Linked DNA regions of Arabidopsis thaliana. The protein of the gene in region 1 interacts with the protein of each later gene in a pairwise test. Each region holds a gene or a part of one and is shown in the gene's direction. Other genes may lie near its edges. The genes, in order: AHP4, CRF8, CRF4 and CRF5.

Region 1 (8,245 bases):
TGATTGCAATTTCTGGCACCATAAGTTCCTAAAGTATTCCAAATGAGCCACTCTCTAATGCTAAAATAGTAAAAATGTGTCAACATTTCTCCAAATGTGTATTCACACTATCTTTCATCTCTTTTATTTATGTTCCTTTCTTGTGCTTCAATCTACCGTCTCTTTCGTTTCTCGAATGACTAGTACGGCTTTTATATCAGGATTATTCTTGTAATGATCTTACGTTTTGGATGGATCCAACATATCAATCGCAGTTGTGTCTCTATTTATGTCGTTAGAAGCGTTTGCGGTGGTGAATTATATCCCTAACGCTATCGAATTACAATCTTTTATGCATGGCCGCACATGGACTAGTGCGGTTGATACATTTAAAAGAAATACTTTTTGATACATAGAAATATGTTCAAAGCAAATTTTGCCCGGAAAAAATGTGTTTAGTTCTTTAACAATTGAGAAAACTAGTTGAAGTTAGTTAGATGACATATATTTTAATATTCTACCATTTTTTATTTTGGTTTTGAACGGTGATATAAATAGGATAATGAGTTTGGATTACATTTCCTAATGAGAGAGAAGTTCTATTCTAGTTTCCTAAATTGAAAAATTTTATGTGACCACAAATGCATGGTTAAATTAAAGACGATGGCTAATTAAAGAACGGTCTCACAAGAAAGAGATATCTAATTCACTAGAAAACCTATGTTTACAATGAATTGAGAGCCTTTATAAATGCTGGTATGCATGGTACTAGTCTAAATTGTGTTCAACTAAGCTAATTCCTAAGAATTGTGTGAAAGAATGGAGGATAAGATGTTATTGGAGACTAAACGATGATTATAATCGGGAGTATATGGAGTTCTATGGACATTTTATCTCTATCTGTAAAGGTAAAGGCATGGACGTACGTAGTCTTTAGGGATGATAAGGGTCTAATCTATCTTGAATACTCACTAACGTAATCTAAGTAAGCCAGCTATGATAGCTTAGAGTTCTAACCACACTCAAATGATATAAAGTTTCCCAATGAGTTATAAGAACAATGCCAAAATGGTATTCCTAAAAGGATTCATCACTTAATCTTTTAATATGTTTCAAACCCTTTAATAAAATGGTCAAACGTCTTTATGATGGTCTCTTGTCACCAGTTTTGTTTGTCAAATAGTAGTGGAATTTGTTTTCCATGGTTGTGCAGCCTCATCTGTAACAACTAACAAACACGAATTCAAAATTCTTCACAATGACCATTATGTTTGTACCAATCACATTTATACTCAAAAGAATTATTGCTATTGTTCTGTTTCAACTCTCAACCACGACAACTACTCAAAACTTGATAGTATTTTCTAGTTGGGATGAGTAAATGAAATTGTATATTAACATGATATGTCGGAAGACGGTTCCCTATGATTTAATGTAAAACTCGGGTCTATATTTTTATTTTACTTTTATGATTATGATTAGTCGTTATCGGCCGATTTATTTGTTATTTAACAATTTGTTTAGGATTATAGCTTTTTCGGATTGGGAGGAATCATGTTCATAATATCGCGGAGGTGTAATTATTCACGAAAGTGATAGAGGATAAAAATAAATTTGTTTAGCATATACTTTATTTAACGGGTGATAGATGATTGAAGTTACATCTTTCAAATAATTGGATATTATTGAATTTATATTAATAGTTGAGAAGAATGTTTTTAATTGAGTAATCAACACAATTAAAAGAATTAAAAATCTGTTTGTGTGTCGACATTTGAACTTTTAAGGAGTCATCTTCAATCACGAACCAGTCAACATTGTGCCCTTTATACGAAATACTTAGTTCAATTAGGTGCTAATAGCTACTTCTAATAACTTTAGTAGCACAAATTCTGGCATCATGTATATCCAACAAAAAATCTCAAGATAACTTTCCGAAGAATATCTATCATTTAAAAATAAACTTTCTCTAAACATGTATTAATCTTCCAATCATAGGAATTAATAGTGGAACAAGCTAGCCTTCTAAAGTATTACAAGACTGATTTTGTCTTGAATATGAATATAAGTTATATTACAAACTAGCCTATAGTCTAGCAATTTCCTAATAATATATGAAAACTAAATCTCTACATATTTTCTCCCTTCGAATTAATTAGTCATTTGTACCAGAGGCAGAGATGATAGTTACGAGTTCATAATAATTAAGAGTTAAGACTATATATAGCCTTAAAGCTTAGAAATATACAAAAGATCATAAGAACAAAAAATAATTTTCTTTTATAAAATTAAGATCACATATATATATAAAGGAATAATTGGATTGTGTAACACATATACAACAAAATTTAGATAAATGTCATGAATTTTGTCCTCTTTTATTAGAATTTTATCTTGTATAATACTAAAAGGTAAACATAATAACATTTGATTTAAATACAAAATTGGGGTTTATCATGTAAAACCAACCTCACAAGTTTTGGAATGAATTGTTTTGTTTCTTCTAATTTTGTGGTATTACATATTTGTTATTAGAGGGGAGGTCGGAATTAAGGAGAATAATCGAGATGAGACAGCAAGCAATAATAAAACTTAGATTCTAAACCCACTTCCACCGAAAATATGTAGTAGACAAGTCCTTTATGTGAGATTGGTTTGGTGGGCGGAGGAATAAATAAAGCTGATTTTTTTTTGTATATGATCAATCTCTCTCTCTTCTGTAATTCGATCTCACGATGCTTGTCTGAGAGAGAAAGAGATATAGAAAGGAACAAATTATGCTGTAATGATAAAAAGATCTTTTATGTCTTTGTGTCAATCATTTAGATCACACTTGTTATGTGCTCTTCAGTTTTTCCTTTTTAGATACTTGTTCCTTGTTTCCAATAACAGAAATTTATGGTTTATTTTTTACTCGTTGGATATATGTATACCTTATTCTCTCTCTCTCTCTTTTTGGTTTCCTACTTCTTTCTTTTTTTGTTACAATATAGAAGTAGGAAACACACGCATCCGCACAAGTACTAGCCTTTCCTTGGCACACAACACCCTCTCACCTCCACACATTAATGGAAGAAACTTGGAAAAGATTTGCATCTAATTTTTCAATGTTTGTTGCAGCGGTCAAAGAGAAAGAAAACACATCAAACAGAAAACCCCAATAGAAATCTATTTATTTCTGGTCTTGATCATGATACTAACCTTGACTATGTTTTTAATATAAAAATGTCGTTTAATGTTTATCACAAGATATAATCCTTACTTAGTAATTGAATTCCGGACCCCAAACTAAAATACTTCGAATTAGTATTGCTTTCTGTTGTTGAAACAAAAGATAAGCAATAATAGTGTTTGCTAGTGTGCTAGATTCCAACAATTTTTTCTTCCAAAAGTACAACTTTTTTTTGCCCATTTCGTAAATTCATATGTACATATATAGTTGAATGTTGTGGGTGTACGTAATTGGTACCATTAAAATCAGGAAATCACAACCTTAAAAATAACAAAAAAAAAAAGAAAAAAGAAAAGACAATGATATTATAGAAAACTTTGTGAAAACATGAATTAAATTCAGTAATTAATCAAGACGGAAATGGTCTGTTCAGAATATTTTTCTTGAACTGTATACTTTTTCAATCTATAACTTTCTTTTTCACTTTCAGGAAAATTCGTGTCCACATACATTTTACTAGTATATATTTGCCTCATTTCCAAAGGTGTGTTTCGTATAGTATCAACGTTTAGCTTTTAGGTTCTATATTCGAAATTTTACATGTTTCTATGATGTACGTATATATATAATATTAGTCGTATTCCCATTCGTGAGATCCTTTGATTACTTATTAATTAAGATGCATTTCAGTTATATTTTTGGGCAATAGATCAATCATCCACAGTAGTTTAAGTTTCATAATGGACCATACTATTAATTAAACAATCAACATTGAGGAATTCTCTAATTGAAATCTCTTATTCAAAACTTTAACATAAACACTATCTTATATATATAAAAGATTACTATACATTCAAACTTATATATCAACACACATATATGATCATTTGATAACACCTACCATTTGTGTTATACATATATTTTATAGAGAAGTTATAGAAAATTATACTGAGTATACATCTATGTGTCATCGAAATAAGCTGATAATAACGAATACACGTTTTCTTTTTATGTCTGGAGTAGAATACAGCATTCATGCCCTTACGTTGCAGGTTCCCATCATTTTACAAATATTCTCTTCTCTTTTCTACTTTCTCTTTTTTGATGTAATACGATCTATTTATTTATTCTATATTTCACTATATATATCTCAGATGTCCAACGTTTCAGTATTGCATTGCCACTCGAATTACCTAAGATAAAAACGAATTATCACTTTGATTTTTCGCACTTATAGTTAAATCTATTCTCAAAATTTAAACAAACATGCAGAGGCAAGTGGCACTCATCAAGCAGTCCCTCTTTGATCAGGTTTTGGTCGTTTGTTTCTTCGTATTTTCGTAATATAACTTCGTACGTCGTACCACTTATATATGAATTTCTTCATATAATTTAGAAAATGACTAATATAGGAAAATGCATGCAGGGATATCTCGACGAACAATTCATGGAGTTAGAAGAGCTCCAAGATGATGCAAACCCTAATTTTGTTGAAGAAGTTTCCGCATTATACTTCAAAGATTCAGCTCGGTTAATCAATAACATTGACCAAGCTTTGTGAGTATTATTTTGTTTTCTATTATATATATATTTTTTTTTTTTCAGTTTTCTAATCATTTTTACAATGCAGGGAAAGAGGATCATTTGATTTCAATCGGCTGGATAGTTACATGCATCAGTTTAAGGGAAGCAGCACGAGGTAATTTCCCCCCTTAGTTTTTGACTATTCTAATTACGCCTTCAAGAAATAATTTTACTTAAAGAAATGCGAATACTTAAATGTTTATAAGATAAAAGAATGTAACGCAAAAGTACATTAAAATTACTTCCATTCTCATTCAGGATTCAATGACAGAATCTACTTTAACCAGAAATAATTAGATTTTATGATCGTTAGTTATACTGACAAATGTTGCATTTCTTTTTTTTGTAGCATTGGGGCAAGTAAAGTGAAAGCTGAATGCACTACGTTTAGGGAATACTGCAGAGCTGGAAATGCGGAAGGGTACTTTCGTCTTTATACTTATATACCTTCATGCTTCTCGTTTTTAACAGAAAACTAAGTAACGGGGTCAAAATGAAAATAAGTATAGTTTAGATGGCTAAAATTGCTGCAATTAATCCGCTGAACCTTGAACTTTTACTTTACTTCATTTTCGACCCCCTAATTAGTTTTCTTCGCTTTTTCTTACTTGCAGATGCTTGAGGACTTTCCAGCAACTGAAGAAAGAACACTCAACGTTGAGAAAGAAGCTTGAACATTATTTCCAGGCGAGCCAATAATCAATTATGCTTAATAATTTACATAATTAGAATGTGATTAGAAGTTATCATCAATCACTTTTGATATAGTATTTGCTGAAGTGAAATTTTTTGTAATGAACAGTTGGCAAGGCAGGCGGGGCCTAAGGAGACAGCACGTAGGCCCAAGTAAGAGAGAAAGAGAGAGAGACAGAGATAAATGAGGAATCGTCGTCGAATTTTGTAGCAAAACTATATAATAAATAGTTCCTCTTTATTTTTATATATTTCGATGTACGTTATAAAGAAGGTTTTGGACTTTTATATTATGTCCGTTAATAAACGGTCCAAATGTCTCTATGTTTTTCCCCTTATATCGCCAAATTTTCCCTTGGGAGTTTTATAGCTACGATTACCTCGTAACATATGGCTTCCTCTAATAACGGAATACAGAAAAGAGTGGACCAAAAAAATGCATTTTTTCGATTCTATGATGAATGCATTACCTTGTTTACAAAAGGAAAAAAAAAAGAAACTAAGCTTTACATTATTCGGTTTGTTTCCAGGAACCGTGTCCAAATCCTAAATATTCTTACCTATTTTTATATCATTATGTTAATATTTGTCTCTACTAGTACTGATTAATAAATATTTAAAAAAGAAAAAAAAAACCAAAATATTCTTAGGTAAAAGTCTAAAATAACATTATCATTATGTTACTATTTGTCTCTACTAAAACTAATTATTAAAAAAAAAAGAATGCCATGGCTTAGATGCAAACTATTCTTAGCTAAAAGTCTAAAATAATAACATTATCATAAACAATTAATATTACACTTTTCCATCTAATTTCTCTTACATGCCCTATTTTTCAAACGATGTCGTTTAAGAATATCACATAGACCTTCTATTTCATGAAAAAACTAACTCACCAATGCAAATAAATAAATCAAATGTTTGTTTGTGGATAAAGTAAAACGTTTTCTTTCAATGGCCCAGCATTTACTAAAATTTATTTCAAGTTCTTCCACGTAAAGTCTACACTACATACACTCATACAGGCAGTGTAACGCTGATTCGTAGAGCTGGAGAGTATCACAACAATAAATTTCTCTTCCGAAAGAAAACAGCCTAATATTAGGGAGATATTTACATACTCTATAAGATGTTCTTTAATCTCTTATATATATTACATATGAAAGAATTAATTGTTTAATTATTATCCAAAGCGACGTGAAACCACTCTCATTTATTAGCCCTAGCTATATCTCACAACCTCCATCTTCCTTACTTTAAAAACACAGACCAGATCCTATTTATAGCATCCATGTGCGCCATTGAAAGGTAAATTTATTTAATAAAGTTTACCTATAATATCAAATTATGCAAAACACAGGCTGGTTCAGTTTTTTCCACGAATCAAAAATGGTTGGAGAAATATTGAATAAGAGAGAGAGAGAGAGAGAGAGAGATAGAGTTTCAGAGTTGACACAACATTGAAGTAAACTAAACTCCTAACCTCTTTATCTATGTGTATATATAAAACTCAAAAGTACATATAATCTTCACCATTCACACATAGTCACATACCAAAGCAAAAACATGGATCGTTGCACGTCGTCGTTTTTGCTTCTCACATTGGTCTCTACCTTGTCCATTCTCCAAATCTCCTTTGCTCAACTTGTTCCAGCAATCATGACATTCGGTGACTCTGTAGTTGATGTCGGCAACAACAACTATCTTCCGACCCTTTTCAGAGCTGATTATCCTCCTTATGGCCGTGATTTCGCTAACCACAAAGCCACCGGTCGTTTCTGCAACGGCAAATTAGCCACTGATATAACTGGTAAAAGGTTTTACTTGTTACTCAAGTTATATTTTTAAGTTTGTTTGACACTGAAGTCTTTGTGTTTGTTTTTGTTACAGCTGAGACTTTAGGCTTCACTAAGTACCCACCAGCTTATCTAAGTCCTGAAGCTTCTGGTAAGAATCTTCTCATTGGTGCTAATTTCGCTTCTGCAGCTTCAGGTTATGATGACAAAGCTGCTCTTCTCAATGTAAGTAGTGACGGTTCTTTGTTCTGATACATTTCTTCTTTGATCTGTTTCTTTTTTTTGTTTTGGTTCTGATCTTAGTTCTTTTTTTGGCAGCACGCGATCCCGTTGTATCAGCAAGTAGAGTATTTCAAGGAATACAAGAGCAAGCTAATAAAAATTGCAGGAAGCAAAAAAGCTGATTCGATCATAAAGGGAGCAATCTGTCTCTTAAGTGCAGGAAGCAGTGATTTTGTTCAAAACTACTATGTGAATCCTCTGCTTTACAAAGTTTACACTGTTGATGCATACGGATCTTTCCTTATCGATAACTTCTCTACATTTATCAAGGTAAAGAATTTTCCTTGGTTATCCTCTGTTCTGAATAGAGAAAAAGAAAGATGAGACATTTTGAGTTTTTGATTGACTGTTGCAGCAAGTGTATGCGGTTGGAGCAAGGAAGATCGGTGTGACATCTCTGCCTCCAACAGGATGTCTTCCCGCTGCAAGAACCCTTTTCGGTTTCCATGAAAAAGGCTGTGTTTCAAGACTCAACACAGATGCTCAAAACTTTAACAAGAAGCTTAACGCTGCTGCTTCAAAGCTTCAGAAGCAATATTCCGATCTTAAGATTGTTGTCTTCGACATCTACTCTCCACTTTATGATCTTGTTCAGAACCCTTCCAAATCCGGTAAGTCCTCAAAATGGACTGATATATATAGTTTGTTATAACATTTATTGGTGCTGATCTGCTTTAGATAATCCATGACACATTCATCTTTTTGTCTATAACAGGATTCACGGAAGCAACCAAAGGAT
Region 2 (7,851 bases), on another chromosome or scaffold:
GTAAGCGTAAGCGCGGGGATAAATCTCTCTCTTCCTCACCTGCGTTTTCGTGGAGCATCTTCTTCAACAATGGCTGCTTCTCCGATCTGATCATATCCTGATTTGAATTTTGCTATCTCTCATGCCTCGAACTCGTTTTGTCGACGTAGCATCCTAGTGACTGAGGAAGAAGAAGAAGATGAGCTTCTTTATCCTCTCCGTCGTCGTTTTCGTTTCTCTCGCTTTCTTCTCTCTTCCGCATTCCGTTGATTCATCTGTTTCCGCTTCACAGGATCCTCTCAGACTCATATTAGGTTTCTCCTCTCTTTGTTTTGTTGCACGCTGATGCGATTTTCGCGTTTGATTTATGCTGTTTCGTTTATAAACGTGAATCGCGGTTCTATGTTTTTCATCCCAAACGACGCTTTTTTGAAGTTTCTGGGATTTGTAGCATAGTCTTGGTTCCAGAATTACCAATATCTAAATGCTTCTTCTGTTAACGATCTGCTAAATTCGAGATTAGTTTGCTTCCTGGTAGTATTAAGCAAGCTTATAGAATTGTTATGAAGTTTGAATTCTGATTATGTAATTTTGGTTTTGCTACAAAATCAGGTTCACCGAATTTTGGAACATGGAAAGGTGGAATCTCATTAGCACCAGGACCTGAATCTGATGATGTTGTCTCTGATTACCTCCTCTTAGCAGCTCATAGAACCAAGAGACCTGACATTCTTAGAGCTTTTAAGCCTTACCATGGTGGCTGGAACATCACCAATAATCACTATTGGGCTGTAAGTCCCTCTCCTCTTCTTTGTCATCTCCGATTTTATTAGTTACAGGATCTGTTAGTAATGAACATCTATTTGCAGTCTGTTGGATTTACAGGTGCTCCTGGTTTCATACTAGCTGTTATCTGGCTCTTGTCTTTTGGCTCTCTTCTTGTTGTTTATCATTGCTTCAAATGGAGAATATGTGATAAAGCTAAAGGATCATCATTCGATACACGAAGAATCTGTTTCATTTTGTTGATTGTGTTTACATGTGTTGCAGCGTAATATTCCTCAACTCTTCTACATTGTTTTTTGGTTCTCTGTCATTTGAAATTTGTTGTTCCTGAGATTGCACTGGTTTTTTTTTTTCAGGGTGGGATGCATTCTTTTATCTGTTGGACAAGATAAGTTTCATACCGAAGCTATGCATACTCTTAAGTATGTTGTAAACCAGTCAGACTACACTGTGGAGATCCTCCAGAATGTGACTCAATATCTGTCCCTTGCGAAAACGATTAACGTGACACAGATTGTCATTCCGTCTGATGTAATGGGTGAAATTGACAAGTTAAATGTCAATCTTAACACTGCAGCTGTAACACTGGGAGAGACAACAACAGATAACGCTGCTAAAATTAAGAGAGTTTTCTATGCTGTGTAAGTTGCCCTGTACTGTTAGCTGAGTGGTACCAATTTATGATTAACAGGGAAGACAGTGTTGATATAACTCTGTATATGTACATTTTCAGGCGATCAGCTTTGATCACGGTCGCTACTGTGATGCTCATCCTTTCTTTTGTAGGTCTATGTAAGTCCAGTTGATGTGTATATGCTTCTTTGGTATCTCCTTTTTATTAGCTGTGACATCCACTTGACTTCAACTTTTTATCTGTTATTTGCGTTATTACAGTGCTTTCTGTCCTCCGCCACCAACATGTTGTTCATATGTGAGCCTTTTAATCCCCAACTTCTTCATTTTCGTTAATTTATAGTGGTTTAAAATAAATTGAAAGCTGACTGATGGGGATGTATATAATGATAGATTCGTCGTGAGTGGGTGGATACTTGTGGCTGTGACATTTGTTCTTTGTGGAGTCTTTCTGATCCTAAACAAGTAAGATTTTGCTGTTCTGAATGTTTGTTTTCTCTTGCCTTATTAAGTAGACTCGCAAATGTAGTCAACTAAATGTCATTGTTTTGGTGTCCAGTGCAATTTCTGATACGTGTGTAGCAATGAAGGAATGGGTTGATAATCCTCACGCAGAAACAGCTCTCAGCAGCATTCTCCCATGCGTTGATCAGCAAACAACAAACCAGACTCTTTCACAGAGTAAAGTTGTTATCAACAGCATCGTGACCGTTGTAAACACCTTTGTCTATGCTGTTGCCAATACAAACCCAGCTCCAGGTCAAGACCGCTATTACAACCAGTCTGGACCTCCGATGCCTCCTTTATGCATCCCATTTGATGCAAACATGGAAGATCGCCAGTGCTCGCCTTGGGAACTATCAATAGAAAATGCATCATCGGTACTTTCCTACTCACCTATCTTTGTATATCTTGAACAAAACACCACCAGGTCTGAGACATGTCTTACTAAACTTCTCTTTTCAGGTCTGGGAGAATTACAAATGCGAGGTTACACCATCTGGAATCTGCACCACCGTGGGGAGAGTAACGCCAGATACCTTTGGACAGTTGGTAGCAGCTGTGAATGAGAGCTACGCTCTAGAGCATTACACGCCTCCATTGCTTAGCTTCCGAGATTGCAACTTTGTTAGGGAAACATTTATGAGTATTACCTCAGATTACTGTCCACCGTTAGTACGTAATCTGAGGATTGTGAACGCAGGACTCGGACTGATCTCCGTAGGAGTCTTACTATGTCTGGTGCTATGGATATTCTATGCGAACCGCCCCCAAAGGGAGGAAGTGTTTGCGGATCCACACCCTCAAAGAAAAGATGATAGCTTTGGTAACGGCTTGGATACTCATCACTCAGATGACGAACCTAAGCTTTCTGTAGAATGCGTATAGTATAGAGGTATAGTTAGATAGAATCAGATATTGTATTTCATAATGATATGAAAGAGAACAATAAAAACATTTTGTAGCGTTCATGTTACAGTAGAAGAGGAAGAAGAGACCAGAAGTGGAGCGAAGTTTCACTTTCTGGCTTTTGTTTTCACAATGATTTCGAGTCTTAATTCAGATACAAACTCATTATGAATTCTATATACAAGGGAGATATAAGTATTAAAATGTGATCTTGTTGGTGGCAAGAGCCATGAGATTAAATGGTCTGATATGGTTTTTGTTTCCATTCCATAAAGCTTTTGACATGAGACGGTAAGTGTGTTCTGTGGGATGATAAAAATCCCAAAACAGAAACTCATTTGGGTTATTGCAAATCTTGTATCCTTCTCTTCCACACTGCATCAATCCTCCCAGTGTACCGTTCCCACAACACGCGTTTGAAACATCCGAAAACCCTTCACCAAAAACATGATTCAGCTTTCTCATAGACACATTTGAAAAAGATCTCAAAGATGGAAGTTAATTAACTATATTGAGTTTACCGTAACGGGCAGGGTAGGTTTGAAATCTGTGAGTGATACCATATACAGCTCCAAACACCGCAATGGCTCCAGGGTACTTAGTGGGGATTATGTTCACTATATCTTCAAGTCTTTTATTATACATCTTGGCCATAACATTCATCTTACCAAAGCATTTATTGGTTGGGGCATTAGGAAGCATGGCTCTTGCAGGGACACAACCTACAGGACCTAAGGAGAAGAAAGCGATGCGGCGTGCGCCTAGTTTGTAGATCTGATCAATCGTTTTGTTCACTTGGTCTAACATTGCGTTCACATAAGCGTCTGGAGAAAGTGTAGGAGCTCGGAATGGGAGGAAGTAGTTGAAGATGTCGTTAGAACCAGTTTCTAATAAGAAGAGAGACTCTTGGATTATAGATTTTTCGATAAGGTTTTGCTCTACAAGTGTCTGGAATTGCTGTAGCTGGGTTTGGATCGGTGTCACGCCCTACATTTGATATGTGTACTTAATGAGTGATTCACAAGAAACAAACATTTTATTTGGTCAAGGTAGATATTTACCATAAATTTGTTGGTATCAAGCAAGAGACCACTACCAGCACTAGCAAAGTTAATGCCATTTGAAAAGTTTGAAGTTCCATTCAAGATTTGAATCTGCAATTCCAAGAATGGTTTCTGTAATGGAAGGCCTACAAATTCCGCTGCAATTATTGCGTCAAGAAAAGAAAAAAGAGACAAAAGTAAGGTTCCTTGCAGAAGAAGAAATGTTTTAGTTAACGAGTTGGGAGGTAATTTGTTACAGATGAAGTCAGCGACGGTTCTTCCGTTGGTGAACCTCCCAGTAGGACGGTGGAAAAAGGAAGAACCATAAGGAGGAAAATCAGCCTGAGCGGTACAGTTTTTGTTGTAATGGTTGTTTCCGGCGTCAAAAATAGAGTCACCGAAGGTAAAGATAGCAGGGACGGTGGAAGAAGACTTGGCCAGAACAACCGGAGAGATTAGAAGAAGCAGACACATGAGTAAGTCCATTGAAGAAGAAGAAGACATGGGACAAATGAGTTTATAATCATATAAAAGGAGATTATATACTGACACACATATATATATATATATATATATATATATATATATACAAAATTGACACGGAAGGCAAGAACATTGTTCATGTTTTTGCACTTACTCTTATGTGTGATTAAAGTTTCAAACTTATTCCTAAATTTCTGCTTCTTATTACATAGATGAAGGAAAAAAGAGTAAAGCGTTTTTTCCTTTAGAAGATGGGCTTCAAGCCATGTTGAGAAATTTCATGGATTTTACTGCATTTTCAGCTCTGAGGCCCATACGGCCCACATAGGATTGGTTAGAAAAAAATAGAGAAGTAAATAAGTAAAGATGAAAAGCATCAGAAAAAGAGATTCTGAAAGAATAAAAACATATTCTTTCTCTCAAATGCTTTCCTTTTAATGGAGACGAAGACGGAACCCTAATTTCCGCAAATTCACTATGAAGCGTATTATCAGAATCTCATTCACCGACGCAGAAGCCACCGATTCTTCTAGCGACGAAGACACGGAGGAGCGTGGAGGAGCATCCCAGACTCGGCGCCGTGGGAAACGCCTCGTTAAAGAGATCGTAATCGATCCTTCCGATTCCGCCGATAAACTCGATGTCTGCAAAACACGGTTCAAAATCAGGATCCCGGCGGAATTTCTCAAGACGGCGAAAACGGAGAAGAAATATCGTGGAGTGAGGCAGAGGCCGTGGGGGAAGTGGGTGGCGGAGATCAGATGTGGAAGAGGAGCTTGTAAAGGACGACGTGATCGTCTCTGGCTGGGTACTTTTAACACTGCTGAGGAAGCTGCTCTAGCTTATGATAACGCTTCAATTAAGCTGATTGGACCTCACGCGCCGACCAATTTTGGTTTGCCGGCGGAGAATCAAGAGGATAAGACGGTGATTGGAGCTTCTGAGGTTGCTAGAGGCGCGTGAAGTGGGGTTGGTAATTTAGTTGTTAGCATTAGCAAGAAGGTCTCTCTCGTATTTTGTAAATTCATCTTCTGATGTTGTGTATGATCTTGATGTCTTTCGTCTATGTATATATATGAAACTCGAGAAATGAACTATATTTTGATTTACACACAAATTTTAAGGTACAAATTTTTTTGAATTTTTAAAACGTTTAGGAAAGAAAAGTTTGGGTTGAAATAGGCTCTTTTTATTTGTATACTATTCAATCTTTTTACCATTTATGGATCAACACATAATAGAACAGAACTCTAACCAAATTGAACGTTAATGACTTGGATCAGAGTTATATTTTGATGGTTGATGAAAAGTTGAAAATTCTTTATATATCTTTCCATCTTTTGGTTCTTGTATCACCGTATCAACGATACATTTTTATACTTTGGGGTGTCTAATGAAAAATACTGAATTTATCAATTTACTTTGACTTGTTGAAGACTGATGGCCATGGGTGAGGGGTTTGGAGATAAAGAAAGTAATAAAGAACATGAAGAGATCAGCTAAACCAAGAGACTTCATCATACACATGATATATATGATCTTCTATAATACTATAATAGTAATGACTAAAGAGGAAATGAATGTTTTCGATAATAGTAGTGACTAAAGAGGAAATGAATGTTTTGACAAGAAAAAAAAGAAAAAGAGAGGAAATGAATGTTTACATGTACGTGCACATGAGTTTAAAAATAATAAGTTTGAGGAAACACAAGTGCGTTAGAAAAAAAGCAAACAGATATTTTCTTTTGACTTACGATTATGAAATTGAAAAAAAAAAGGATCTGAAGATAAATTTTGATTGGTTCACAAACTTCACATGATAAACAAGAAGATTTTTCTTTTTTGAACAAATCTTTTGATACCTTAAAGAGGAAGATTTTTGATATCAAAATGAATAAAAAAACAAAACAGAGAAAATTTTGTTTTTGATTCGTTTTGATACCTTTATGAGGAAGTAACATACTTATATTCAAAATGAATCAATGAATCAACATTGTAATTAATTAAATTTTTAACAGACCGCTTGACTAATTAAACAAGTTAAGATTATAATATTTCAACGCATTATTGTATAGTACTTTGGTGATTTGCATGTAAAGTTTTTTTTTTTTAACAAAGACTTTTCTTAATTTGCTATAATCAAGTGCCATTATTTAGATCGAGAGAGAATTTATGGCGGCTGAATAAGAGAGGACGACGCATGTATCTGTATCTCGAGGTGTAGAATCAATATACGACACGCCGCTATAAATTCCACAGAAGATATCATATAATATTAGTATATAAAGTATAGGGTTGATTCGGAGAAAGAGGTTAAAGTATTAGATTGAAACAACAAATCTCAGGGGAAGAAGAAGAGAGAATGGATTCGGCGGAGAAGGGCTTGCTTGTTGTGAGCGACAGAGAAGAAGTAAACAAGAAAGATGGGTTTTTGCGGGAAACGAAGAAACTTAGTTACATCGCCGGTCCGATGATTGCAGTGAACTCGTCTATGTATGTTCTTCAGGTGATATCTATAATGATGGTTGGTCATCTCGGTGAGCTTTTCCTCTCTAGCACCGCCATTGCTGTTTCTTTCTGCAGCGTCACCGGTTTCAGCGTCGTTGTATGTCTCTTTCTTGATCTTTCTCTTTTTCATTTTTATTAGCTTAAGATTCTAAATTGTGGTTGTGGTAATCACACAGTTTGGATTGGCTAGTGCGTTGGAAACTTTATGTGGTCAAGCTAATGGAGCTAAGCAATATGAGAAGCTTGGTGTTCATACTTACACAGGAATTGTCTCTTTGTTTCTTGTGTGTATTCCTCTCTCTCTTCTCTGGACATACATTGGTGATATACTTTCTCTTATTGGACAAGATGCTATGGTTGCTCAAGAAGCTGGGAAGTTTGCAACTTGGCTCATACCCGCGCTCTTTGGTTACGCTACTTTGCAGCCGCTTGTTCGGTTTTTCCAAGCACAGTCTCTGATTTTGCCTTTGGTTATGAGTTCAGTCTCTTCTCTCTGTATCCACATTGTCCTCTGTTGGAGCTTGGTCTTTAAGTTTGGTCTTGGAAGCCTCGGTGCAGCTATTGCGATCGGTGTTTCTTACTGGCTAAACGTGACTGTTCTTGGATTATACATGACGTTTTCTTCTAGCTGTAGCAAGAGCCGTGCAACTATCTCCATGAGTTTGTTTGAAGGAATGGGAGAGTTTTTCCGGTTTGGAATCCCATCTGCATCTATGATTTGGTATATCAAACTTCTCTTCATGCCTCTTTTGGTTTTAGTCATAGAGTTGTTGACATGAATCTCTTTGGTGTTGTTGGATTAGCCTTGAGTGGTGGTCATTCGAATTTTTAGTCCTGCTCTCTGGTATTTTACCAAATCCGAAGCTAGAAGCCTCTGTTCTCTCAGTCTGGTTTGTTTCCATTTTTCTTTTATCTTCTATAGACTTGGTTTTAGAATGGAATATTATCATACCAATCAGTTGCTTTCATTCTTGTTTAACAGTCTTTCAACACAATCCTCCTTGTACCA
Region 3 (8,063 bases), on another chromosome or scaffold:
ATTTTCTAAAAACTATCTCACAAATTTGAGTAGTACTATTACACAAAAAGAAAAGATTCACGTCTAATCCCACTAAGAATATATCAATTACATTAACCCACCAACGGCAATGTTTCATGTACTAAAAATACGAAAATTATTGTAAGAAATCAGAATATCAGCTTTCCAGAATTAAAGGCAGACTAACACCCGTTGCAACCCAAATTAAAACCATTGTTTTTGTTAAAGTGCAACCCAAATAACCATTACACGATCTATTCGAGCATGGACCGTTCTCTATTACAGAATATAGTACTTTCTAAGAGTCACCATAAATTTTCTAATTTTTATGTCTAACGACCGAAGGGTTTACTTACTAAATATCCCTTCAATACCCCCGAAAACTTATACAATGTCACTCTGTCAGTGACTGGACTACTTTTAATCTATGTTCAAAGTCTCCATAACTTAAAAAAAAAAAGTTTATTAATTATGATAAAGAGAGAGGTCGTGCCCAAGAGAGCATGGTTAACGCCAGGTTTTTATTAAATATTTAAATTAGAACTGAAGAAAATAACTTAGTTACAGCCTGATCTTAGAGATCCCCTGTTTTGTCTTTAGTAAATTAGAGAATCGTAACCTTTGGTGGCCTCCACTAAATGGCATTAATGACCAGTCACTAATGTTAATATTGCCGTGAATCAAATCTCTTAAACAAAACCTTTTGCGTTGAATAAAACTTAAAATTACAGTGGACACTTCAGCGGTCTCAAGAGTCAAGACAAGTGGAGGTAAGAAGAGGAGTCACGATTCATGTGCCATGAGTCATGGTACTAAAAGGTTTCGGTGAAATTTTCACCGTGAAAATCAAACTCTCCGAACCAGACAATTTGTCTTGCACCAGATCCTAAACAAATTGGTTTAACTTTTAGTTTCCTTTTGGTTCATTTAACATGTTATTCCTATCAACGCTAGTAAGGTAGAGCTTAGCTCAAATGATCGATTGGGTTGGGCACTTATTTCTACAGAGTAATTTTAAAGAATATTAATGAATAAATGTTTTTACGATAATTGTTAAAAGTTTGAATTGTACATAAAAAAGTTATTTATATATGAATAAAAATAATTATAATGGAACTTCGATAAATTATTTTTAAATAGTTACATTTAGATTTCAATTTAGTGTATTTTCAATAACCAATAATAATTTAGGCTATTTTAAAAGCTATAGTTTTACTTTTACCTATACATTTACATATATATTCCTATAATGTACTACATATATTTATTATAAAATTTTGATGAATTTAATGTTCGCGAACAAATTCCAAGTATCTATGTAAGCTATTTTTATTTTTATTAGATATATGACCAACATTTCTTGCTTGTAAACTAAGGCTGTCCACGAGAATGACTTGAGTAGTACTCACGAGTCGCGCGACCATGTAGCTTCTGCTCCAAGACATACATTACCTTGGGAAAACTCGAAACTCACACGTTAATTTATATTATCATAAACTTGGTTATGAGAAGTAATTACTCAAGCGGTGACCTTCTCTAGTCTTTATTTGTCCATCAAAGTTCGAGCTCATTTTTAATTTAAAGCTATGCACCAAGACCAACGTACATCACATTATTATATAAGTAACTAATGGTGATAAAGCTTTCAACGTTTTGCTATTTTGAGGGGTGGCCCTTCTTTTAAGAATGGATCTTTGTCCTTAAATTTATTTTTTACCAACAAGTCTCGTTTCTTTCTTCTATTTGGATTCTTCGTTCATAACCGTAGATGGACACGTTATATATGCACACATGACACATTGTATTAGCTTTCAACAAAATCTGTAACGCAATCTTCTTTTTATTGTCACATGTCACCGATTAATGGTGAATGGCAACAAAAAGATGTTAATATCAAAAAGTTATAAATATTGGGTTGGGTATTGTTACTTCAACCCAGTCGTTATTAAAAGTCATTGGTGAGAAGTTGTTATCGCTCCAAAAAAGAAAGTGGTCAACCCAAGTCTAAAACAAGATTCACAGTTTGTCTAAATTTCAATGTAGTCACTTAATTGTCGTTTTTAGTAACACACATGTACGTATTATAATATGGTTCGTATAGTAATAGACGCATATATAAAATATACGTGGATTGGTCACTTGGCTCAATGTAGGACAGTGGCCAAGAACACTGCACTAAACCTCGGGGTTTGTCTTTTGTCAATCCAAAGGATTCTCCATGTCTCTCTCTTCTTCCCACTTTGGATATTCAGAATCAAATCGTCCTTGGCTTCTCTCACACGACCTTTCTTAACCGATCTTCCTCTCTCTCTGCTTCTAGTTAGCACTATTCTGATGCTCGTCCGACTAACCTGACAAAAAAAAATCTCGTGTTTTTTTTTTTGGTTTCATAATGACTTGTAATTTTCAACTGATTTTTTCAACCCTAAACTAAATCAGAACTCGGTTAGAGATGAATTTTTGTAAGTTCAAGTTTTTGAATTTTCATATTTTCAAAAATGAAAGCTCTGAAACGAAAAAAAAAAAAAATTAGCGCCAAATCCTAGGTTGCCCGCCACGTTACTTATCTCACTGGAAATGAGAGGATTTTACTGAATAATTTGTAACAGTTTTTCCTTAAAATAGAATCATATAATAACAGAAACAAATATATTTTCTTACTGGAAAATAAAGATTGATTCCCTTTTTACATTGGTCGGAATTTACTCATTTGGAACATAAATATAGCATTTACTCAAATAGTATATTTACTGTTGAATAAGCACTTTAGGAAAACACATCACGTGACAGGTTGTTCATAAGAAATGAATGCATGGGACGAAACAGCTAAACGAATTCGCTACAGATGTCGGTCAAACCTGGGTGAAGTCATCATATTTTTTTAAAAAATATTTTAATCTTCAATAATATAAAAAACATATTTGTCTGTAACTAAAACATTTTCAAAAACAAAAACAAAATAGTAGATATCTTTTCAAAAAATGAAAGCAGTTAAAATAAAACTGGGACCGGGTATCTTGGGGTCACGTGATATGCATCGTAGATTTCGAGATTAGAAGCCACGCGCTGCTGACTCAGCAGAAAGATAGTCATCTCAAAGAAGAAAAATATCTCATTTGTACAGGTGTCATCATGCGATTTGCTTATATGAATGCGGCGTCCCGTTTAGTAATTCACTCCTCTCTGTATCAAAATTTGTGGCTAATATATCACTGCGAATTGACGAATTGAGAATGTTTAAAAACCAAAAAAAAAAAAAAAAGTAGATAACTTAACAATTTTTAAAATATATAGTTTCTACTTATCGTTATCAATAATGACTACCAAAATATCATGTAAATTTTTACTTTTTATATGTTTCACAAATAATATAGTTTTTACAAAGACTTTTTTGTTGTTTTACATTTTTTATTGTCACTTTAAAATGTGTTAGGCGGTGTAAAAATGTAAAACTGATACAGTATATTTATGTGACACGGTAAAAGAGGATATTTCAAAAGTGAAAAAATGGAAATAAGTAAATAAAAGCAAAGAATATAAAAATATTTTATTCTATTTATTACTTTATATATACCAAATATGGCTAAAGCCCGAAAGATCCTATAAAGTAGGATTTAACAGTGACTTCTGAATCTTCTCACTTTAAACTTAACAGTCTCTCTTTCTCTTTCATTTTATATACCCTTTTCCTCTCTTTCTCCAAATCTCTGAAAATTTTCACCAGAATCTCTGTTCTTTTTTTCACCAGAATCTCTCTGTTTAAAATAATAGGTGATGATGATGGATGAGTTTATGGATCTTAGACCAGTGAAGTACACAGAGCACAAGACTGTTATCAGAAAGTACACTAAAAAGTCGTCTATGGAGAGGAAGACCAGTGTTCGTGACTCGGCCAGGTTGGTTCGGGTCTCAATGACGGATCGTGACGCCACTGATTCATCAAGCGACGAGGAAGAGTTTCTGTTCCCTCGAAGACGTGTCAAGAGATTGATTAACGAGATCAGAGTCGAGCCTAGCAGCTCTTCCACCGGCGACGTCTCTGCTTCTCCGACGAAGGACCGGAAAAGAATCAACGTTGATTCTACGGTTCAAAAGCCCTCTGTTTCCGGCCAAAACCAGAAGAAGTACCGCGGCGTGAGACAGCGACCATGGGGAAAATGGGCGGCGGAGATTCGTGATCCTGAGCAACGCCGGAGAATCTGGCTCGGTACTTTTGCAACGGCGGAGGAAGCTGCCATCGTCTACGACAACGCAGCAATCAAACTTCGTGGCCCTGATGCTCTTACCAACTTCACCGTACAACCAGAACCAGAACCGGTACAAGAACAAGAACAAGAACCGGAGAGCAACATGTCGGTTTCGATATCAGAATCAATGGACGATTCTCAACATCTATCATCTCCGACATCGGTTCTCAACTACCAAACATATGTCTCGGAGGAACCAATCGATAGTCTTATCAAACCGGTTAAACAAGAGTTTCTTGAACCAGAACAAGAGCCAATAAGCTGGCATCTTGGAGAAGGTAATACTAATACTAATGATGATTCATTTCCATTGGACATTACATTTCTCGACAACTATTTCAATGAATCATTACCAGACATCTCCATCTTCGATCAACCTATGTCTCCTATTCAACCAACAGAGAATGATTTCTTCAACGACCTTATGTTATTCGATAGCAACGCAGAAGAATACTACTCCTCCGAGATCAAAGAGATTGGTTCATCGTTCAACGATCTTGATGATTCTTTGATATCCGATCTCTTACTTGTGTGATATTTTTGCCATTAACCAAACACCGGTTTGGTTGCAAAATCGCCGGTGTGGTCAAATTTTGTATGGAGTTGTGATAAGATTTTGTTTTTTCTTCTTTTTCTTTTTTTTTGGGTGTTTTGTGATTTTGTTAAGAAGTAATTTAATGTTATCGTCGGCTTGTAAAACAGTTTTGGAGAAATATTGGGAAAAGAATAAACTAATTAATTTATTAGAATTGTTGTTGTTGTTTGTTCTTGTCAATTTCTTTGAGTTGCACGAACGTGTTTAAGTTTTTTGTAAACGAGTTTTGATTATAAAAAGCGAAACTAAAATTCTCTTTGGCGAGAGAGACCACACGAGGAGGCGCAAATCACGGTAGTGACCGGTGGAGCAAGTGGCTTTTGGGTCAGTCGGTGCACTTTTTGCCTTTCTCTATTAAACAAAAGTGGGTTTTGTGTTCTGACTCTGGCGGTAAATAATACTACTAATTTGGAATTTGGAAACTATCCTTTTCAGATATGAAATTTCTAAGAATTAAACTTTGACTAAAATATATTGTTACTAGATTTGATTTTTCTTAAAATTAATGTTGACACTGATTCTCAATCAATTACAATTTGAATAATTCGTCACTTTCTGGTTTTCCTTATAACTTTTTTTCTTATAGACAAAAAAGGGTAATATTTCCTTAAGTGAATGTAGAATAATGTTCAAATGCAATGAACTCCCAACTAGAATAGCTTCCATTTATAGATACGAAATATTTGCCCGTAACTTCAAAATTTCGGTTTCATTCAACAATTGAATTTTGTTTAAATCTTAAAAGATAGTGTTCTGAACTTCAATATTTTCATAACTGCTAAAATATTTTCCCGCGTTCTTGAAGATTAATTTTCGATGAAAGTGTATATATAAATAATAAGTACAGGGCTGGATCAATTTAGAGATAGTATCAAAATATTTAAATAGGAGAAAGGTTTACGGTAAATAAATTATTCATGTGCTTAAGATATTAAATCCAATAGATTTTTTTTTTAATGTACATTCCTAACAACCAAATCATAACAAATGCCTCCCACCAAAAAAAAAAAGCATAACCAATGCCGAACATCAGAAGGGAGAAGCAAAAGGTAGAAATAATTATGTCCCAACTCATATGAGAGAATTATAATACAACTTACTAGGTAAGGAGTTGAATGAGTACGAAATGTTGCACTAGTGTAAGAAATAAGCGCCTCTCCACATGTTGACTTGTACCATTATAATTACGATGTTTTGAATTCATACACACATATTTGTTGGTGACCACATTTGTGGTTTGTTTATGTTTTTCTTTTTTACCAAATAGTTAATATATACACAAACAAACAGAAAGCTTAACGTTTTCATTGGTCGTCTGGATTTCGTCTTCTACCGTCTATTTGCCCGATTGGTTTCATTGAAATCATATTGGAGTCAAATCCATATATATATATATATTTGGTTTTAAATATATGATTTATGTGTACACACAATAAGAAATTGTTAAAATAGACATCTACAAGTCCCTTTCTTCTGGAGAAAATGTGGACTAAAAGACTTCTTCAAGGTTATGATTAATGAAACCATAGTCATTTTGAAAATTATTGAGTACTGAAGTATATATAGAAAAAGAATTTTACCTTTCGTAGACATGTATGCAAGAGGACTCTATAATAACTTTTCTTTGTAAACTATAACAGATAATTACATTGGAGGTGTTTCTCAATTCTGAGAAAGTAATATTCATTTACAAAGTGGCATAAAAAGGTTTGAAATACTAAAGCTTAGTGTTTTGTTTGGTTATACAAACTTTAGATGCAAGATTACATATTTTTTCCTTGCTCTTATCCAACATAGTAATTGTTGTCAGATGACAATATAAAAAAAAATCAAATTCAGAAATGTCTTCACTATGGTAGTGCGTAAATATTTATCGAATCCTCAGTGGTTTGCAGCATTGTAGGTCGCTGCCAAAATTTTAAAATTAGAACATCATTATTAATTAGTTAAAATGTTGTTACTGTTTGAGATGTGTTACTATTTTTTTTCCTACTTCTTTTTGTCTCAACTATGTTCTAACTCTTTAATCATGTTCTAGTTTTATGCATCAAAGGTATTAGAAGTCTCCTATTTTAACGTTGACAAAACCTTTTCTTTATTAAGTGTTTGTCGGTTGATATCTGAAAGGACTAATAATAGAAAGGTCGAAGAAATCTATTAGAAAATACAAAATAGGTCAGTGTCGGAGAAAAGTCAATGCCATCGTCAACAATTTTTACGTGGAAAAACATTCGTTAATTTTCGACAAACGAAGACTTATAATTCATCACTAAAGCGGGACAATATGAATGGCGTTTTACACATCGTCGCCTCCTCAGGTTACAATTAAGGAAATCGTAATAGTGCGTTTTGCTTTTCATATTTGAGAAGGCTCTCATGGATACTTTTTGATGATAAGAATCTAAGTTGAGAAGACAACCTATGTTGAAGTACGATCGGGCCGACATAAACCGGATTAAACATTAAAAACAGCCGGTATTTAATAACTGGACAAAATTAAGGCTCATAAACAGAGGAAACTCGGGTTTCTGGAGCATTGAGCCTGTTTAACTTATTCTGTTAACTTGAAAAAAGAAGCTACAACCTAAAGCCGTATCCACAGATCCATGTTTAGGAGATTAGTGACTTTGCAGGGTCATGATGAAGCATGGCGATGCAGAACATACTTGACCACTTCGTAGAAGGAAACCACTATCCCTACCGATGGTCCTGCACGTGCCACTCGTGGACCCATTCCCATGAACAGTCCTCTCATCCCTCCATCCCTGTGTGTGCAAGTATTTCTTGTTATGTTTTGTTTCAAAACAAACATAGAGCTTTTAACAAATGAAAAATGGAATCTTTCAAATATGCATATACATACCTCCAAACCTCTATTAGTGTCTGTCGTGTCGTCATCATCAATGCCCTACCAGGGTCCTTCTGAATTAATGGAAGGGAGAAACATGAGATGGTGACACAAGTAAACAAACATGTTTCTGGAGGAAAGCAAACAAACCTCTATCTGTCTTCTTGTTCTTGCAACGTCAAGAGGACAAGTAGCAGCAGCAGCGATACTTCCAGCTATAAATCCAGCAGAAAAGGTTGCACCGAAAACACCAACAAGATTTGTATCATTGCCCGCAACTCCAAGGAGCCTCTTTTTTATCTGTATCATAAGGGAAGGTCAAAGCAATTCACTTACTGTATTTGGCAAAACTGCCTTAAAATAAACCTTCTGC
Region 4 (8,086 bases), on another chromosome or scaffold:
GTGAATAATTAAGAGAAAAAAGATGGCAGATTATCAGATGAACCCGGTTCTTCAAAAGCCACCAGGTTACAGAGATCCAAACATGTCCTCTCCTCCTCCTCCTCCACCTCCCATTCAACAACAACCTATGAGAAAAGCCGTCCCTATGCCTACTTCTTACCGACCAAAGAAAAAACGTAGAAGCTGTTGTCGTTTCTGTTGCTGTTGCATCTGCATTACTCTTGTTCTCTTCATCTTCCTCCTCTTGGTCGGAACAGCTGTTTTCTACCTCTGGTTCGATCCTAAGCTTCCCACTTTCAGCCTCGCTTCCTTCCGTCTCGACGGCTTCAAACTCGCCGACGATCCCGACGGCGCGTCTCTCTCCGCCACCGCCGTTGCCCGCGTTGAGATGAAGAATCCGAACTCGAAACTCGTTTTTTACTACGGAAACACTGCCGTTGATTTGAGCGTTGGTTCGGGAAACGATGAGACCGGGATGGGAGAGACGACGATGAATGGATTCCGACAAGGTCCCAAAAACTCGACGAGCGTGAAAGTGGAGACGACGGTGAAGAATCAGCTCGTGGAGAGAGGATTGGCTAAGAGACTCGCTGCGAAATTTCAGAGCAAAGATTTGGTCATTAACGTTGTTGCCAAGACTAAAGTTGGATTAGGTGTCGGCGGTATTAAGATCGGAATGCTCGCCGTTAATTTGAGATGCGGTGGCGTTAGCTTGAACAAGCTTGATACTGATTCACCTAAATGCATTCTCAATACACTCAAATGGTACAAAATTATCAGTAATTAGGATTTTGGTTTTTGATGTTAATTACATCCAAAATTTCTAAACTTTTATATGAGATTATTAATTATTACGTTGCAGGGTAACTATACAGTAACAAGACGGAAGGATTCGAGGATTTGGAAAAACACGATGATCTAACATCTGTATACTTGTAACTTTACTGTAGATATGTTATCTTCTTTCTTTTGTAATTTTATTTTTTCGTGTTTTATACTCCACACATGTTATTAATTTTATTTTTGGGGTATTTGATCAAATTCACTGAGGGGGGCATATTTAGCGAGTGTTTGTTTTATTATTATTTTGTGTGAGATAGATTATTTTGTGTGTAATATTTTATGTGGGTTATTATTTGGGCAGTAAACATAATGTAATGTGGTGATTTTTATGTTAAGAATATTTTCGACATGTTTGTGTAATGGTGGTGGGAAAATATTGTTCAGGTGGCGTATGAATCTTTAGACACTAATGGGCCCGTAAAGTATATGGGCTGAAATGTTTCGTAAACAAAAATATAGATATCGAAATGGTGTGCCATTTTTGGGGGCCTAAATTGGTAAAATGTCAAGTGGAAATGTGGAATTCGAAAAAAATGGCTTGTTTTTCAGAATTAGGATAAGAAGTCCAAAAATAACAAAATTCCATTATATCAGTTAATCTGTTTTTCCTCATGTGTATCACTACAGAGAGATAGCTGTATCTGTCATTCAATGTGATTTGTAAAAATGATAGATAATATTTTAGATGTACAGTCTAGTTGAGAATGTACTATTTTTGGTATTATCTATCGTACGACTGCAGGTTTCTGCAAAATTCTCGCTATACAGAAACGATTAGGATAAAAATGGATGTCTAGATCAAATGTCGGAGAAGAGAGTCGATCACTGTTTTTATCTTGTTTATTTATATGATGCATGAACTGCTTCAAATGTGAAGTAAATTGTTCACGATGTTTATTCCCTTCAACTAAATGCAATAATAAAACAGAGAGAAAAACATGTAGACGATAATACAAAGACCATCTCGTTTCCTACCTACACCAACTCATACCTCGTAGTATAACCAAAAAGCAAATAATAATTAGGTTACAACAAATAAATCTCATGCCTCAACGTCCAACGCATATCGTGGCAATTTCTTTTGTTATCGCTTTGTCTTCAAGGTTGTTCATGTGGCCCTAATAAGATAAGTCCAATTTCTCTTTTGTTTCATATCTTTTGTTTCTTTCTATTAATAGATTAATGCATGTTAATGCACGCCACATACTATATAAATTAATTTTTGATTATAGTATTCCTTATTTATTTCCCGCTACGAATCTCTTAATTATTTGAATTGATTATCTTCCGAAACTGCTTCGAAAGACTTGGTATATATTATGACCCCAGATTCTTTTACAACAACTTACCAAAGAAAATGAATCCACCTAGATCCCCATAAAAATATACACAATAACCTGACCTGGTCAGAAATTCAGTAACAAATAAAGAGAAATTGAGTCTATATTATTTTTTTGTCTTTCTAGTTTATGACTTTTATTATATCAGATGATCCAATACCACTATAAATTTGTGGTAAATATTTTTTATTTCTCATGATAAAGTGCCAAAACAAAAGATATTGAGAAAAATTATCCAAAATTTGTTTTTTTTTTCCTTTTTAGTGTCCAGTTTCAAAGCTGATTAATATTAGTATAAGGAAACAAAATATATAATGTCTGCAATCACTTGATCTCCAAGCAAACAGATCATAATTTCCCAAAATAAAAACATTCTTAATTCAAATCAAGAGGAGATAAATAATAACAATCAATGATCTTTCACAAAAACTTTAAAAACATTCCGATTACATCATTACCATAAAATTCATAATTATCATAGTGGGTCAAAAGGAGTGAGTGACAGTACTGTGACCAGTCTCACGTGAGAGAAGGCCCGCCCATTTCTTCTCATTAGCGCGCATGACCTTCACGAACACATATAGGCGCGTGTCATGGTACAACAATAGTCAAAGTTACTTGTAAACCAAGCTATAGAGTGAACCAAAACCGAAGCTCTTGAATACCGAAATAATCCACGTGTCAAAAATCGGAGAAGCGGCTAGTCGTTTGAAGCGCCCACTAATCTCTCTCTTAATTGCCTTACTTAAATTTTCATTAACAGAAAACATAATTATGATACGGCTAAATCTCGGAAATTCCATAACGATAATTTCGAAAATCAAGAAGGAAAGTAAGAAAAAGCCAAAAACACAAAAGGAAATAATAATATTTTTGAAAAATGGGAAAAAGGAATAAATGAGGGGGGGGCGTGACTATATTTAACAAAGGGATTGTTACTAAGAAACGGCGTTTTCTTCTTCCTTCATAGATAGCCTTTTTGACTCTTCTTTCTCTCTTCTACTTTTTTTCAGGCTCTCTCTCTATATCTCTATCTTCTTCTCCGGTTAACTAAAAGAGAAATGAAAAGCCGAGTGAGAAAATCCAAGTACACGGTTCACCGGAAAATCACATCCACACCGTTCGACGGTTTCCCGAAGATTGTCAAAATCATAGTCACTGACCCATGCGCTACTGATTCTTCCAGCGATGAGGAAAACGACAACAAATCTGTTGCTCCGAGGGTGAAACGTTATGTGGATGAGATCAGGTTCTGTGACGAAGATGACGAACCTAAACCGGCGAGGAAAGCGAAGAAAAAGTCCCCGGCGGCTGCGGCGGAGAACGGTGGAGATTTGGTAAAGTCTGTGGTGAAGTATAGAGGAGTGAGACAACGACCTTGGGGAAAATTTGCGGCGGAGATTCGTGATCCTTCGAGTCGTACTAGACTCTGGCTTGGGACTTTTGCGACGGCGGAGGAAGCTGCTATAGGTTACGATAGAGCCGCGATTCGAATCAAAGGTCATAACGCTCAGACGAATTTTCTCACTCCTCCTCCTAGTCCGACGACTGAGGTGTTACCGGAAACTCCGGTGATTGACCTTGAAACTGTCTCTGGTTGTGATTCGGCGAGGGAATCGCAAATCAGTCTGTGTTCTCCGACTTCTGTTCTCCGGTTTAGTCACAACGACGAAACAGAGTACAGAACAGAGCCAACGGAAGAACAAAATCCGTTTTTCTTGCCTGATTTGTTTCGCTCCGGAGATTATTTTTGGGATTCCGAAATTACCCCTGACCCTTTGTTTCTCGACGAATTCCACCAGTCCTTGTTACCAAACATCAACAACAACAACACAGTGTGTGATAAGGATACGAATCTGTCTGATAGTTTTCCGTTGGGAGTGATCGGAGATTTCAGCTCATGGGATGTTGATGAGTTTTTCCAAGATCATTTGTTGGATAAGTAATTTGATGAGTTCTTCCCCAGAATTTTTCTGGGTTTCTCTTTTTGGTTGTGTGAGTGAGATGAGTGGTTTGATGACAACGACGGGGATGAATCTTAGCCGTCCGTTTTCCATTTCGTGGACGGCTCCGATCAGCGGAAGAAGCGCAACGGAGTTTTTATTTATCTGTTTGAGAATTTTATAATTTAATTTGCGAGTAAATATAGTAATTAGTGTTAAGATTGTGAGAGTTTAAGTTAATTAGGGAGGGGTTTTGAATATTGGGGATTTTGGGAGGTTTTTGTTTGGTTTCTCTCCAAGTCTGTCACTATGCAAGGAAGCAGTATAAAGACCGTATATATATTTTATTATTAATATTGATAAAAGTATTTATTTAGTGCAAATCTTTGTCTTTTGTTTCCTTCGCATGAATCTCTCTATCAAGTGGGGTTTATGTGACTTGTCATTTTTATTGTACATAAAAACATCTAATCACATTCTTCTCCCCCTAAACATGTAAATCGTTTTAATAAGCCAAAAAAGCAGGGAAAATATCGTAAGATCCTAACTATATGGATTAAGACCAAATCAACTATCTAATTTTAAAATATACATATAGTCAAAAGACGAATTATTTACATCTAAAGAGTATCTTGTTGTGTTTTTCTTCTTCTTCTCTTTTGGCACTAAGTGTCAGAGCAACAATGCCCATTAATGTGAAGAACCAACTCATTGAATCATCTATTACCCTACACATTGTCTCCACTTTAACAACCTTCTCAATTTCAAAGACATTCAATTACTACACCTCTTTTTTTTTTCCTTCTTGTGTTCAAAATTTGGTCCATGTCTACGCAAAACAGTTCATTTGATTCAATACAAACAGCAAAACGAAACTATACAAAGTTAGGTTTACATCTTTTTTTAAGGAGAAATACTGTAGTGTACATGGTTGTGGATGTGAATTATGTATTGAGTTGATATATATTCAATGGGAGACAACATGAGAAGAACAAAAAAAAAACAATGAAAGAGTGAGGAGAAGAGAAAGACAATGTATTGGGACATGAACTTAGATGTCTTTCTGTCAAAGACCACCACAGGCTCTGCTTTGGCAAATTGGAGATTTAAAGGAAAGAGTTTTCCAATGAAGAAGAAGACTTCTCATGATCTTGTCGTTGACCTTAGTCCCCCCCATTATAAACATTTTTAATTATTTACTTTCTAATCTGTCAATCTTTCGATTATGACGTTACCTAATACTATTACACAAAAACGTCTTATGGAATTGTCATTTATTTATTCACATGGGTTTCAATCTGTCACTCTCTGTCTACTTTTGGAAATGTTTTAAATTTGATTGTAGACTTTTCTTACTCTTCTACTAACTACGTTTGTTTTCTTCAAAATCTTTACTTTCTTTATGCAATTGTGAAGTGAATGAAGTAAAAATGACCATCAAAATAAATAAATACGTAAGAGAATAAATTGTAGTAGAAGAGAAAGAAGTCTGAAGTCTGTGATGTTTTAGAAATAAAAAAAAAGGACCATTCACCAAAAACAGCAATAACAACAGTATTGGTCCGTTCGAGGTTTAATTTGACCAATTGAGTAGATTTGTCTCTTTCGTGTTTTTAAAATTGGACCAGACCGTTTTTGGCTTCCCGAAGTGTGTGACTACTCTGCCCTGAAACCCTCTTTCTCGTTCAGAAGCAGAGCGCTCCCCATTCCTCTATCAGAAATTTTAACAACAATACAAACTGAAACCTTTGATTTTCGTGGTTGAATGGTCAAAACACACCCAATAAAAAAAAGGTTGTGATTTTTAGTATAATGCATTTTTCCTAAGATGATGGTTGCACCAAAAAGAGAGAGGCAATTCTGTTATCCTCCTGCATGTTAGATCATTTATCCGAACAAACCATAAAAATGAAAATATTTTGAAAAAATTAAAGTTTGTTTGTTTTCAAAAAACATATTAATCCCATGCTCATGAGTGTGACAAAAATGGACCACTAGCCGCATAGAATCACAATGAAGATTTAACAAAGCAAAAACAAGATATTGATATTCTAAGATCTACTTGATTAAGACATGCAAATGCATTAAAATTAAAAAGAAGAATCGACCTTTTAATGCAGTCATCTAATGCGTGTGGTAGGAAATGCTCTGTAAACAAAGTTTTTAAATGAAGTCGAACAAAATTTTTAGAAATTGTAAAACATATCAACCAATAGTTTTTGGCAGTAAAATTTAAAAGACTTTTAATTTGTAATATCTCAGTAGATGACTGGAAACAAAAAAAAGTGGGTCTAAGCCCATGTAGCAAACCACGTTGCAAAAGGAAATGTCTTTATCAGACAGAGGTTGGCCCAAATCAAATTGAGAGGTGAGACAAGTTGCCTCTGTACCAATGAGATTGTTATGGGTCCCATAAGATCTTTAAGTGAACCCTTCTTAAAACGCTTTTACACTTTGTGTATCAATTCGATATGACCCGGTTTAACTCCGGTTATCTTGCAAATACAAAGCTGGTTAAGTAATGGTAACGAACTACATCAATTTTGGTAAATAAAGGTTTGTCATCCATGCTTTGGCAGTGTTGTCAATTTAGGCAACAAGGCAAAGAACAAAGAATAAAAGCAAAAGTTTTGTTTCCCCCAACTTGTTCACATATAACATTATGTCTCTATGTGGAAGAATGCTTTTAAAAAAATTCAAACATAATTGTTACAAATAGTTATTGTTTGTCAATATAATGACTCATATAAATTCAAACATACCCAGCATGAAAAATGGGAAATTTTATCAATATATATTAGCTATTCTTGTTGTTGTCATCAATGATGAATGGCTGGTCTTTAGTATGCCAAATCCCATTATGTGTTTTCCCTAATAACATTAACAATAATAGTGTTAGGTGGTAGTACCCTGGTTGGTGAAATGCTAATGGTGAAACTGGGTCAATATAAAGATAACACTTATTACTACTGATCTCGCCAGCTTGGTGGTTCTCATTCTTGTCTTCACAAACATATAAGACCCTCCTCACACGTTGATGAACTGATTCTTTTCCAATTATAAAAATCGTAATCTTTGGTCACAAAATATTAAATTTGGTCTTCAAGCCTTAAAAACGGCAGAGATTACATCAGTCAAGTAAAAACAGCGACGCTTTTATTGATCAAACTCATTCTAGCAAAAGGTGTTACAGGCCCATATGAGGCCCATAATGTGAAAACAAGGCTTAGTCAAAAACGGCAGGGAGTGTGGTCAAAAGTTTTGAAACGGCAAAGAGTGTTAGTATGTGTTTTGTCTTTGGTTGATGATTTATGAACGGCAACGAATCACCTTCCGAAGATTTTTCTTCCTTTCTTTTTTGGATTCTCCTCCATGCAAAATTGGAAAGCCCTAAGACGAACACCAACCATACGCCATCGTGCGACGTGAAAATTGGAGAATCTGATTGGCTGAAGGATTATTGAAATTGAAAGTTATTGTGATCGAGTTTTGTTTTTTCCTGATGGTGGAAGAAGCACAATTGGATCCTAAATCGAAATCGATTCCGAATGAGAATTTGAAATTTGGAGAAAGGGCTTTGTCTGCCGGAGGCGCCGCTTTTATATCGGCGGTCATAGTCAATCCTCTCGATGTTGTTAAGGTTCGAAAGTAAACATATTTCCACACTTTTTGGCTTTGGAAACTTGTCTGCGAAAATCTGATTTTGAGCTTCTTTTTATTGTAATAAGCAGACGAGATTACAAGCACAGGCTGCAGGAGTTCCGTATCAAGGCTCGTGTCGTCTTGGTTGTTTCGACACGAATTCCACGGTATATTTGCTAACTGATTCTTAGTTTTGAAATGGATTCTGGATTGCTAAAGCATTGATTTTTATCTTCTGGTTATTGCATTTGCAGTTGGTACATGATTTGAGAAGTAATTCTGCTCCAGGGATGTGTAGAATTACTGGCTCTGCATCTG

What was found.
Region 2: the proteins of AHP4 (region 1) and CRF8 interact in a protein complementation assay, tested with the Arabidopsis thaliana proteins (one study listed by BioGRID).
Region 3: the proteins of AHP4 (region 1) and CRF4 interact in a protein complementation assay, tested with the Arabidopsis thaliana proteins (one study listed by BioGRID).
Region 4: the proteins of AHP4 (region 1) and CRF5 interact in a protein complementation assay, tested with the Arabidopsis thaliana proteins (one study listed by BioGRID).

The regions. Positions count from the first base shown.
Region 1 is NC_003074.8:5,549,934-5,558,178, forward strand, and holds AHP4 (HPT phosphotransmitter 4), read left to right. Parts: upstream 1-4,263; 5' UTR 4,264-4,417; coding exon 4,418-4,462; intron 4,463-4,540; exon of another isoform or gene 4,541-4,550; coding exon of another isoform or gene 4,551-4,577; coding exon 4,578-4,708; intron 4,709-4,781; coding exon 4,782-4,850; intron 4,851-5,084; coding exon 5,085-5,156; intron 5,157-5,349; coding exon 5,350-5,422; coding exon of another isoform or gene 5,423-5,434; exon of another isoform or gene 5,435-5,460; intron 5,461-5,537; coding exon 5,538-5,585; 3' UTR 5,586-5,856; downstream 5,857-8,245. Other genes in the region: AT3G16370 (GDSL-like Lipase/Acylhydrolase superfamily protein), read left to right, coding at 6,995-7,238, 7,319-7,449, 7,543-7,776, 7,862-8,117, 8,222-8,245. UniProt on the Arabidopsis thaliana protein: Functions as a two-component phosphorelay mediator between cytokinin sensor histidine kinases and response regulators (B-type ARRs). Plays an important role in propagating cytokinin signal transduction through the multistep His-to-Asp phosphorelay.
Region 2 is NC_003070.9:26,818,066-26,825,916, forward strand, and holds CRF8 (Integrase-type DNA-binding superfamily protein), read left to right. Parts: upstream 1-4,451; 5' UTR 4,452-4,811; coding exon 4,812-5,297; 3' UTR 5,298-5,606; downstream 5,607-7,851. Other genes in the region: AT1G71110 (uncharacterized protein), read left to right, coding at 179-293, 592-770, 849-1,030, 1,122-1,406, 1,499-1,557, 1,660-1,696, 1,792-1,863, 1,958-2,279 and 1 more; GLIP6 (GDSL-motif lipase/hydrolase 6), read right to left, coding at 3,007-3,242, 3,330-3,795, 3,870-4,009, 4,109-4,355; AT1G71140 (MATE efflux family protein), read left to right, coding at 6,697-6,939, 7,019-7,563, 7,646-7,732, 7,825-7,851.
Region 3 is NC_003075.7:13,906,451-13,914,513, reverse strand, and holds CRF4 (cytokinin response factor 4), read left to right. Parts: upstream 1-3,518; 5' UTR 3,519-3,774; coding exon 3,775-4,782; 3' UTR 4,783-4,972; downstream 4,973-8,063. Other genes in the region: MTM1 (manganese tracking factor for mitochondrial SOD2), read right to left, coding at 7,478-7,607, 7,706-7,764, 7,841-7,990.
Region 4 is NC_003071.7:19,008,370-19,016,455, forward strand, and holds CRF5 (cytokinin response factor 5), read left to right. Parts: upstream 1-3,092; 5' UTR 3,093-3,244; coding exon 3,245-4,129; 3' UTR 4,130-4,649; downstream 4,650-8,086. Other genes in the region: AT2G46300 (Late embryogenesis abundant (LEA) hydroxyproline-rich glycoprotein family), read left to right, coding at 23-765, 863-878; AT2G46308 (uncharacterized protein), read right to left, coding at 2,798-2,986; AT2G46320 (Mitochondrial substrate carrier family protein), read left to right, coding at 7,629-7,766, 7,858-7,935, 8,023-8,086.